Sus scrofa: one gene and its partners. The protein of the gene in region 2 interacts with the protein of the main gene of each other region in a biochemical or structural test. Links are inferred from orthologs where the notes say so. Each region holds a gene or a part of one and is shown on either strand. Other genes may lie near its edges.

Region 1 (3,751 bases), on a different chromosome or scaffold from region 2:
TTTCTTTTTAGGGCTGCACCCATGGCATATGGAGGTTCCCAGGCTAGGGGTCGAATTGGAGTTGTAGCTGCCAGCCTACACCACAGCCACAGCAATGCCAGATCTGAGCTGTGTCTGCAACTTACACCACAGCTCATGGCAACACCAGATCATTGACCCCTTGAGTGAGGCCAGGGATCGAACCTGCAACCTCATGGTTCCTAGTCAGATTCATTTCCCCTGCGCCACAATGAGAATTCCAGAATTTTTTTAAATATATAGTGTGATACCTTTCTGTAAACAAGCAGTCACAATCAACAATTTTTTAAATCCAGCTCTATGTATAGATATTTTATTCAGCATGCAATTTTTTTCCTAAAATTAACAATGCCAGTTAATTCTAGGATTATATTTCAGGATTGGAAAGAAAGTTTTTTTTCCCTTTTATTTACTTACTTTAAAAGGTGGAAAATTGGAGTTATGGTTGATTTTTTTGGGGGGGAGTATTTAAAAATTGTATTCTTAGATAAAAATTATTCTTGAATAATTATTTTTAATTAAGAAATCTAACAATTAAATTAATGAATACTATCACAACACATATACCCAAAATAAAGCAAGCAGAAAATTATTTGGTGTAGTTAAAATACTACCAAAGTTTATAAGGCAATTGTATTTTCTTTTTGGTTAAAAAAAAGATCAGATCACATATAAGGTAACTTACTCCACAAGGTAACTTACTTAGAATACTTAGAATAAATACTTAGAAGACTTAGAATAAATAATAGGGAATAAATAGAGTTTTAAAAGGTGAAATAGATGATGAAATCTTCTCATGGTCTAGTACAATTATAAAAATTAAAAATTTTTGATGATTTTATTTTGTCTCAAGAATTTCCCTTACAGGTATTGACTTTTTCAAAAGCTGTAAAGGAAATTTTATTGCTATATTAATCTTTCCAATTATCCATTTAACTTAAAAAGCATGTTCTTATAATAACCATAAATATGGAATTTTTATGTATCTTAATTTTGAATAATGTCATTCCATTTCCTGTATAATTTGGTATCATAGCATGAATCACTCCTTTGTTGAAAACTCTCCTCAGAATTTCTTGGGAGAAAAATTGGACAGAAAATTAATTTCCTCTTTGAGAGAATTCTTAGAATTTAAATGACACTATTGGTTGAACTGAAACCACAAAATTAGCATTTTACTAATCACTAGGTTTAAATATTTGTGAAACAAAGAGATCTGCCACCATCTTGATCATCAGCTCAGCTTGCTTCTTCTTTCCGGTCTTGGGTTCAAGGTATTTCATTTACATATAGCAAAATGTGATATATTATGATTTCAATCTGTCTAATTTTTCACTCCTCACTAAAAAATATGCACTGGTAACTTTTCTGTGTGATTCCAAATATTGATACCTTTTAATGATATACTGGTGGCTTAAAAATGCATTTGCAAATGTCGATGCCATCTATCTCAGAGCTTTAGTTGAAAAATAATAGTTTTATAAAGACCAAATTTTTTTTGCCAAATTTTATGAAAACTTATTATGTGAAATAATTTATAATCTTTTTAAAGATCATAGTGAGGATCATTTCTGGTAGAATATTTCAAGACCATTTTTATTCCATGTCATTAGGTTAATAAAATTAATTCTATAAAGGATATGTCAATGATATACACAGATATAAATGACTACTTTTTAAAAGATGGTTAGATTTGGATATTTGGAAAAATGCAAATGAATAAAACCAGTAAACTCATTTTGGATTTATAAATATGTCTTCCTTACAAATGCAGTTAGATTCTACAATATGTAGACTGAAACAGTATGTATAAAATAAGCTGATTAGTTTGTTGGCTAATGTATAAACAAATTGCATGTATATTATGACTTTCTTTTCCTAATTTCTCTGGAAACCAGTTTCCCAGGACATAAGTTCTAAGTATCTCTGGGTTCTTGTAATTTGATGGAACTCTAGAAGTCACACATGATAAGACATCAGAATCTTATGATTCTGCTCAATGAAGTCGTCTTTATGCAGTCATGTCATGGATATAGCAATGTAGAAAAACATAACATAATAGCTAGACTTTAAAAAAAAATTGATGGAGGTTAAATGTTTCTACATAATATGCACCAACAGTGTTTTTCCCAAAGACGCTGAAAAAGCAGGATGCTCTAACATAGACCTAGAAAAACACCTTCAAAAAATTGCAGATAGGGAGTTCCCGTTGTGGCTCAGTGGTTAACAAATCCGACTAGGAACCATGAGGTTGCAGGTTCAATCCCTGGCCTTGCTCAGTGGGTTAAAGGATCTGGCATTGATGTGAGCTGTGGTGTAGGTCGAAGACGTGGCTTGGATCCCACGTTGCTGTGGCTCTGGTGTAGGCTGGTGGCTACAGCTCTGATTCAACCCCTAGCCTGGGAACCTCCACATGCCGTGGGAGCAAAAAAAGGCAAAAAGACCAAAAAAAAATTTTTTTTTCAGATAAAATTAAATGCCAGTTCCCTGTGCCTTTTAGTTTATTATCAATTTTTAGCAAATCTGATGGTCTAAGAGGAAATATTTAAAATAATTAATTGTAGTATTCTTAAATTTAGTAGTATTTAAATATTAATGTTTATGTATTCCTCTGACAAAACCCTATTACCACTTCAAGGATCAAATGTTTTGTTTTAGAGGGTGATACTGGTGTTTCTTATCTCATATAAGCACTAAGCAAGATAATTTGAATGATAAATTTTTCTTGTGAGTAAATTTTCTGTCAGACCTAAATTTTTATTTTGTTTTCTTATATAGGTGTTGACAACCATGAAACTTCTCATCTTTATCTGTCTTGCAGCTGTTGCCCTTGCCAGGCCTGTGAGTATGGTAGAGAATTTAGAAGCTTCTAGATTCTTGATTGAAATTACCTGATATCAAACACAAGAAACTGAGGATAATAATCTTAAAAGTATTGAATGATCTCTAATTACCTTTTGAAGCCTTGATATTAAAACTGTAGAAATCCTTCACATCTTGATCATTATTACATAGTTCATTCAAAGTCATCACTCCAAATAAAATCTGAGTTGAAATATAAATGCCTCACAGTAAAAAAATAAAAACAAAAAATGAAAAGAAAAGAAAAAGGAATAATGTATTTAACAACATAGTAAATAGAATCAATGAGTGTTATTACGCTCTTTGCCTGAGTCCAATAAAGAATTAGCATATATTTAAACATACAAGTCCATGATTTCTTTTCTGTGGAAGGGCTCATTTGTGCCTTATATAAGATTCCAGGTATCAGTGATATATCATTTGGTATTTGTCTTTCTCTTTCTGACTTACTTCACTCAGTATGAGAGTCTCTAGTTCCATCCATGTTGCTGCAAATGGCATTATGCCATTCTTTTTATGGCTGAGTAGTATTCCATTGTGTGTATATACTACATCTTCCGAATCCAATCATCTGTTGATGGACATTTGGGTTGTTTCCATGTCCTGGCTATTGTGAATAGAGCTGCAATGAACATGTGGGTGCATGTGTCTCTTTCAAGGTAAGTTTTGTCTGGATATATGCCCAAGAGTGGGATTGCAGGGTCACATGGTAGTTCTATGTGTAGATTTCTAAGGTATCTCCAAACTGTTCTCTATAGTGGCTGTACCAGCTTACATTCACACCAACAGTGCAGGAGGGTTCCCTTTTCTCCACCCCCCCCCCAGCATTTGTTATTTGTGGATTTATTAATGATGGCCATTCTGACTGGTG
Region 2 (3,751 bases):
TCTCACTCTTTCAGGTGGGGGGCCTAATGATTATAATTTTGCTCCAAGGAACACTTGGCCAAGGGCCGAGGGGGGTGGACTGTGCAGAAGAGAGCTACTAAAGCAGGCCTGAGACTGCTCTCCTTAGAAAGACTTGCTCCGTGGTTGGCCCTTGGCTGGCATTTCAGTTCTTGGATTTCAGGAAGGTTCTCACCATTTCCTTAATGATAAAGAGTCGCTCACTGGGCCTACACTGTGCAAACAATGTGGTTTATGCTGTATACCTGCGTTCCCTCCAGGAATCTGGAATTTGGGTGTATGCTAGCAGAGGGCGCCCCCAGAAAAGCCCTAGGAGCTGAGTCTCTAATAAGCTTTCCTGGTAGATGACAGTTCATGCATGTCATCACACTCATTGCTGGAGGAATCAAGTGTGTCCTGTGTGACTCCACTGGGAGAAGACTGTGGGAAGGTGGGGCCTGGTTGCCTCTGGATTTTGTCCCATGCGCTTCTTCCCTTTTGATTTCGCTTCGTAGCCTTTCGCTGCAATAAACCTTAGCCGTCTGTGAGTAGGACTCTATGCTGAGCCCTGGGAATCTCTTAGTGAATCATCAAACTGGGGGTGGTCTTGGGGAGCCCCAACACAGAGCAAAGAGAGACTTCTGGCGTGTTGGTAGTATTCTCTTTCTCAGTCTGGGTGCTGTTTACATGGGGTGTGTTCAGTTTGTGAAAATTCACTGAGCTGTACAGTTAAGATATGTATACTTTTCTGGCAGAGGGAGTCAACTTTATAAAAAGATAAAATGGATATTACACATCACAGGGGTTAAAAAAGAATAACTTAATTAAAAAAACTTATTTAGTAAACATTTTATTTTTTTAAAAGTTTTTTATGATAGTTGATTTACCGTGTTCTGTCAATTTCTGCTGTACAGTGACCCAGTTATACATATGCATATTCTTTTTTTCATATTATTTTCTATCATGTTCTATGACAAGGGATTGTATAGAGTTCCCTGTGCTATACAGCAGGACCTCATTGCTTATCCATTCTAAATGTAATAGTTTATTTAGCAAACTTTTTTTTTTTTTTGCTTTTTTGCTTTTTAGGGCTGCACCTGTGGTACATGGAAGTTCCCAGGCTAGGGGTCAAATGGGAACTGCAGCCACTGGCCTACGCCATAGCCACGTGGGATCTGAGCCAGATGTGCAACCTACACCACAGTTCACAGCAATCTTTAACTCACTGAGAGAGGCCAGAGATCCAATCTGGGTCCTCATGGATGCTAGTCAGGTTCATAACCCACCGAGCCACAATGGAAGCTCCCTATTCAGCAAACATTTTAATCACTCCTTTTTATTAGGCACTATGCTGGGAGCTTGGGACATGGGGTAGGAATGATGTCATCATGCCACTTTGTTTATTGGGAGTCAGGTAAAGAGATACTTGTAATTCGGTTGATTTTTGCTGAGTTCTAGCACAGACATCATAGGATGTCTAACTATTACCAAAGACTACTAACCTGGGTAATCGGCTATTGCAGGGTTTCCGCTCAAACATCTACAGAAGCCAGACAGGCAAATGGGCAAAGGGGTAGCTGGGAACTGTGGCAAACTGGAAAGGTATGTAGGCATAGAGTTGCCACAGCAAGTAGTTTTCCTTAAGAAAAAGCCACAAAACTGATTTTTTTATGTGCGCTCTCTGTATTTTTGAACCTGTAAATGGATCCAAAAATTTAACAGCGGGAGACCAAACAAAACACCTCTGCAGACCAAATTTGGCCTTGGTCTACCAGTTTGCCAGGCATTCCGCCAACCAGCCACACAGTCCCTCTTACCAAACAATTGAAGGTCCACTATTTTAGGCGCTGGGAGACAGCAGTGAGCCAGCCAGCCGACTTTCTTGCAGAATAGCGGGGTGGGGGCTCTGGTTCTGTGCTTCTCAAACTTCCCTAAGTGTAGGACTCACTGGGAGGCCTGCGGTGAGGCCTGAAGCTTTGCCTTTCTAACAAGCTCCCAGGTGGTGATAATGCTGGTGGTTCCTGCACCATACTTTGAGTAGCCTTGAGCTGTAACCCAGAGGCTCGGGAGCAGCTGTTATTTGAAGGAGGGAAGTAGGGGGTTTGTCTTGAAGGTCACATTTGCCTGGCAAGCATCCTCTTTTTACTTAGATTTTAGTTTACTGCAGGGACTTGGAAGAGAGTTGATGACGTCGAAGGCGGGTGTTAAGGCTCTCCCAGCTACCTCTCGGCGCTGCCGGGTCTCCGTTCTCAGTTTATAAGCTCGAAGGCGGGGCAGGGGTGAAGGAAGGTGGTGGGAAAAACTTCCTGGGGGAGGTGCACGTGGACTGCCCGACCTTCCCCAGCCGCCGAGAAAGGGAGAAACCCCGAACTCCCCCTCTCCTGGGACTGGGTCTCAGCATCCCCACGCCGGGTCTGGTTTCCCAGGCATCCCACGTGTCCGCGAGTCCCTGTCAATCAAGCTTCTCCTCCCCGGGCTGGGCACGGGTTTAAAGGAGGCTGCTGCGCAGAGAGCTCCCATAGTGCCGCGCGGCGGGCGGGTTTGGATTTTAAATCCCCGCGGCCAATCAGTAGCGCGTAGGCTTTTGTAACGTTCCCGGCGCCGCGTTTGAATTCGAGGAGGGGCAGAGCGGTGCCAAGCCTCGGCCCAGACCCTGCTAGGTCCGCTGAGCAACTCCGGGGACATGAGTGCGGCGGCAACTACAGGGAAGCTGGCGCGGGCACCGGCTGACCCAGGAAAAGCCGGGGGCCCCGGAGTTGCAGCTCCCGGGGCCCCGGCGGCCGCTCCGCCGGCGAAAGAGATCCCGGAGGTCCTAGTGGACCCGCGCAGCCGGCGGCGCTATCTCCGCGGGCGCTTTCTGGGGAAGGGCGGCTTTGCCAAGTGCTTCGAGATCTCGGACGCGGACACGAAGGAGGTGTTCGCCGGCAAGATCGTGCCGAAGTCGCTGCTGCTCAAGCCGCACCAGAAGGAGAAGATGTCCATGGAGATATCCATTCACCGCAGCCTTGCCCACCAGCACGTCGTCGGCTTCCACGGCTTTTTCGAGGACAACGACTTCGTGTTCGTGGTGCTGGAGCTCTGCCGCCGGAGAGTGAGTGTCGCTGCTGGGAAACTGGAGCTGCCTGCAGGCTGGGGTTGGGGCGTCCGGACCCAGCTGCTGGGGAGGGGACCCCCCGGGACTCGGAGCTGCTGGAGAGGAGGTGCTGGGTGGGAATCTCGAGCTGGAAGTGGAGAAGGTCTCGAGTAGAGAGGGGGCTTGGCACTTGGGGCTGCTAGGGGAGGGGGGTTCGGGTTTAGTGGAGCCCGGGTCGCGTTGCCTCTAGGGAAGGCGGCTCAAGGACGCTAGGAGTTGGGCGGAGTTGGGGAGGCGCGGGTCGCGGGAGAGCCCTGCTAATGGTCTTCCGGAGTTGCTAGGTACGGGGTGCTCTGGACCTTCCGGAGTGGGGTTGGGTCAGGCACAGGGTAGTTGGAGCCAGACTTGGGGGCTTCCGGGGAGGAGAGGGGTCAGAAAAGGGATCTCTTGCTGCGGAAGAGGCCTGGCGAGGGGGTGGCGGGGGGGGGGGGGGGGCATACGGGGTACTCTTGAACTTCCTGAAGGGTTGAGAGAGGAGTCCCAGGTAAGGGAGCTGGTGGGAGAGAGGGCGCTCTGAACCGTTGTGGCCTGGCTTAGGGGAGAGTGGAGAGCATAGCTGTCCTGGAGAAGGACTGCTGGGTAGGGTCCTAGGCAGCTTTCACCTAATGATACTGCTTCCCT
Region 3 (3,751 bases), on a different chromosome or scaffold from region 2:
ACTAACAAAGAACCGAAGCCACAGAAAAGTACCCCATCAGGTAAGTATTTAGGCAAAAACAGACATCTGCTCGACCGGCACACTCATGTCCAACGGGCTTCCCATCCAGACTACGTTATCCACGTCCTTCCTTTGAGAATATATGTGTGTTCTTGCTAGCATTACATTGATGTTGTTAGGTTTAGATTTGTACATAAATCTCTTCTACATTTAATATACTAAAAGTGATGTGCTTGCTAGGTATTAGAGATACAAAAAAATAATTATTTGCTGACGAAGAAGCCAGAAATTAGAACGAAGTTATGAGTTTTAAATACTCCAGAAGAGACTATTTAAGACTTAGTGTTTAACTAGGAATTCAGAGCAGGGACAAAAGCAGTAAACAGATTTTCACATGTTGCTCAGATGACTCTTTTCCTTCCTATTTGAAGTCTCAGACTTTGACGCCGACGATGCCAAGGATAATGTACCGCCTTCTCCAAGCTCTCCGGTTGCTGATTTCCCAGCTGTAACTGAAACTATAAAACCTGTTTCTAAGAAGAACGTGACAGTGAAGAAGACAGCAGCAAAAAGTGAGCCTAAATCTTTGAGATGGGCTAATATTGGGATTAACTAACCGGCTACTACAAGTCAATTTCAATTTTTTATTTTGTTATTGAAACTAAGCCTTTTTCAAATGAAAACAAATCTTTAGGTCTTTAGTATCAAAATTGCTAGTCAAAAGGTTTAAAAATAGCATGTTTCTTAAAACATTAAGCATTATCTTAGCTTATTTCTATGATGATAGGCCTTACAAACAGTTGCAAATGTTTAACATGAAGCTTAGACCTACAAAAAAAATCCTATTAGGAATTCCCATTGTGGTTCACTGAGTTAAGAACCCGAACATTGTGTCTGTGAGGATGCAAATTCGATCCCCGACCTCACTCAGTGGGTTAAGGATTTGGCATTGTCATGAGTTATAGACATGGCAGAGGAGGCTCAGCTCCAGTGTCGCCCGTGACTGTGGTGTAGGCCAGCAGCTGCAGCTCCAGTGTGACCTGGGAACTTCCGTATGCCATGCGTGTGGCCCTAAAAAATCAGATTAAGAATAACTTTGGGAGTTCCCATCGTGGCGTGGCGCAGTGGTTAACGAATCCGACTAGGAACCATGAGGTTGCAGGTTCAGTCCCTGCCCTTGCTCAGTGGGTTAACGATCCGCCGTTGCCATGAGCTGTGGTGTAGGTTGCAGACGCGGCTCGGATCCCGCGTTGCTCTGGCTCTGGCGTAGGCCGGTGGCTACAGCTCCAATTAGACCCCTAGCCTGGGAACCTCCATATGCTGCAGGAGCGGCCCAAGAAATAGCAAAAAAAAAAAAAGAATAACTTTGATTCTCTAATATAGTTTCACCTCTATTAGGTTGTCTTTTCCTATGGTAAACATAAGCAGTCAGCAGGGTGCTGAACAAAGTTCAGTGCCAGCAATTCCCCACAGTTCATCTACGACTGGCCATGATCAATGTCTGTGTTGATTTGCAGGTCAGTCTTCCACCTCTACTACAGGCGCCAAAAAAAGGGCTGCACCGAAAGGAGCCAAAAAGGATCCAGACTTGGATTCTGATGTCTCTAAAAAGCCTAATCCCCCCAAACCTAAGGGTCGCCGCAAAAGGAAGCCATCCACTTCTGATGATTCCGACTCTAATTTCGAGAAAATGATTTCTAAAGCAGTCACAAGCAAGGTATTTATCCTAGTCAGTCCCTTTGCTGTAGATGTTTTGAAACACATGACCAAGCTTTGCTCCTAATAATTTGGCACATTTTTAAGAAAATAAATTTTAATCTCATAATCCATTATGCCTTTTACTCGATGTGGTGTAGCTGTAAAAAGTTAAATGTGCAGATAATTAGTCAACGAGGGAGTTGCCTTGGATCTTCTTCTAACTATTTATTAAAAGATAATAGCAAAAAGACAAAAAAAAAACTAAAATAAAATAAAAGATAATAGACAAGTCCTTGAGTTATAGTCTGTCAAAACATTTCTTGCATTGACTTTCTGCTGTCAGGTTGACACTGTGCAAATTACTTGAGCTTTTCTTTTCTAGAAACCCAAGGGGGAGAGCGATGACTTCCATCTGGACTTAGACTTGGCTGTGGCTTCTCGGGCAAAATCTGGACGGACCAAGAAGCCAATTAAGTACCTTGAAGAATCAGATGAAGATGATCTGTTTTAAGATGTGAGGTGATTCTTTTAAGTAATGGCCTCTTTGAGCCCAAGACTGGTTTTAAAGTTACCTGAACCTCTTAATCTCCTCCCCTGCGAGTTGAGTTTGGGGAAGGTAACTGAACTCAGAACCACAAAGTGAAGTGTGTAGAACCCAAGTGGCCCTTAATGTTTCTAATACTGTCTAAGTCGTGACTGTCTTGTGGGCGTTGTTTTCTTCTCTGCTTTGTGTATGTACTGAGTCTGTTTTCCTTTTAAATCTGATTTTAAGTTTTTCTGGCCTCCAGAGATCGTTCTATGGTCACTTCAGCATAATGTATTTTGACCATTCATTAAGCTAAACTTAGAGCATTTTGACCTAAAAGTTTCTACTCTGCCTACATTCAGTAAATATGAGATTAGGCATGATTAAATCTCTATTTTATCTTAGTTGTGTAGATAATTTTCCATTAGATAGACTTTATGTAGTTCCAATATCAAATATTCCTCTCAGCCTTTTATCTGCTGAATTTTTGTTTAAGCAGTGAAAATTGTTCATGTTCTTTGCATCCATCTGAATATCAACAGAAGCTGAGCAAAAACCATGACTGTGTCTACAGAACCTCAACACAGTCAACAGGATGAAGAAATTTAGACCATAACGTAGATTATCTCAATTCTTGACTTAACCCCTCTGGCTGCCTGAGTCTGAATGTCCCCAAGAACAAAATTTCTAGGCGGCGCTAGATCACAGGGAGTGGGGACAACATTCACTCCAGAGATCTTACATATTACGTTGATGCCAAACCGAGCCGTGAACTAACTGTTCTATCCATTTTGAGAAATCTCCAGATTTTCCACTTGTCAACTTTTTTAAGACCTTCCTGTATTTGTTACATGTGTGTGACCTGAGTGGTATTATCAATGTTTTTGTAAATATTTACTATGTTTTTCTATTCAGCTTAATTCCAACAATTTTGTACTTTAATAAAATGTTGTGAACATCTCAACCCATGATTCTTGCCCATCTTTTTCCCCCTGCAGTATACCCTTTCTTTATCTAAAATATATACCTCTTGGAGTTCCCGTCATGGCTCAGTGGTTAACGAATTTGACTAGGAACCATGAGGTTGCGGGTTCGATCCCTGGCCTCCCTCAGTGGGTTAAGGACTAGAAAAGACAAAAAAATAAAAATAAAATATATACCTCTTGACTATTCACTGTAAAATAGTTTGGGGGACCATTCTGATCACTTTCTAATGTGCCCGACAGCTCTTGGCCAAAGTGAAAGGTCTGAGAGATCAACACCATGACCTAATCGTGGGCCAACCAGGTTTTTCCTGGGATTTTAAACATAGGTACTAAAGTCATCTCCTTAACACTCCAAAGGCCTTGGCCCTACATCAATAAATAGTTATAAATGTAAACTTTTTTTTGGCCACACCTGCAGCATGCAGAAATTCCCAGGCCAGGAGTTCCCCATGTGGTGCAGTGGAAACAAATCTGACTAGTATCCATGAGGATGTGGGCTTGATCCCTAGCCTTGCTTCGAGGATTAAGGATTCAGTGTTTC

The links.
Region 1: of the proteins of PLK1 (region 2) and CSN1S1, one has a biochemical effect on the other in vitro, tested with the Homo sapiens proteins (2 studies listed by BioGRID). The link is inferred for Sus scrofa from reciprocal best matches to the Homo sapiens genes PLK1 and CSN1S1.
Region 3: of the proteins of PLK1 (region 2) and TOP2A, one has a biochemical effect on the other in vitro, tested with the Homo sapiens proteins (2 studies listed by BioGRID). The link is inferred for Sus scrofa from reciprocal best matches to the Homo sapiens genes PLK1 and TOP2A.

What each region holds. Positions count from the first base shown.
Region 1 is NC_010450.4:66,886,988-66,890,738, forward strand, and holds the start of CSN1S1 (alpha-S1-casein precursor), read left to right. Parts: upstream 1-1,243; 5' UTR 1,244-1,292; intron 1,293-2,796; 5' UTR 2,797-2,808; coding exon 2,809-2,859; intron 2,860-3,751. UniProt on the Homo sapiens protein: Important role in the capacity of milk to transport calcium phosphate. Casoxin D acts as opioid antagonist and has vasorelaxing activity mediated by bradykinin B1 receptors.
Region 2 is NC_010445.4:22,548,367-22,552,117, reverse strand, and holds the start of PLK1 (serine/threonine-protein kinase PLK1), read left to right. Parts: upstream 1-1,222; 5' UTR 1,223-2,680; coding exon 2,681-3,088; intron 3,089-3,751. UniProt on the Homo sapiens protein: Serine/threonine-protein kinase that performs several important functions throughout M phase of the cell cycle, including the regulation of centrosome maturation and spindle assembly, the removal of cohesins from chromosome arms, the inactivation of anaphase-promoting complex/cyclosome (APC/C) inhibitors, and the regulation of mitotic exit and cytokinesis.
Region 3 is NC_010454.4:22,025,267-22,029,017, forward strand, and holds the end of TOP2A (DNA topoisomerase 2-alpha), read left to right. Parts: coding exon 1-40; intron 41-431; coding exon 432-572; intron 573-1,517; coding exon 1,518-1,717; intron 1,718-2,080; coding exon 2,081-2,209; 3' UTR 2,210-3,186; downstream 3,187-3,751. UniProt on the Homo sapiens protein: Key decatenating enzyme that alters DNA topology by binding to two double-stranded DNA molecules, generating a double-stranded break in one of the strands, passing the intact strand through the broken strand, and religating the broken strand.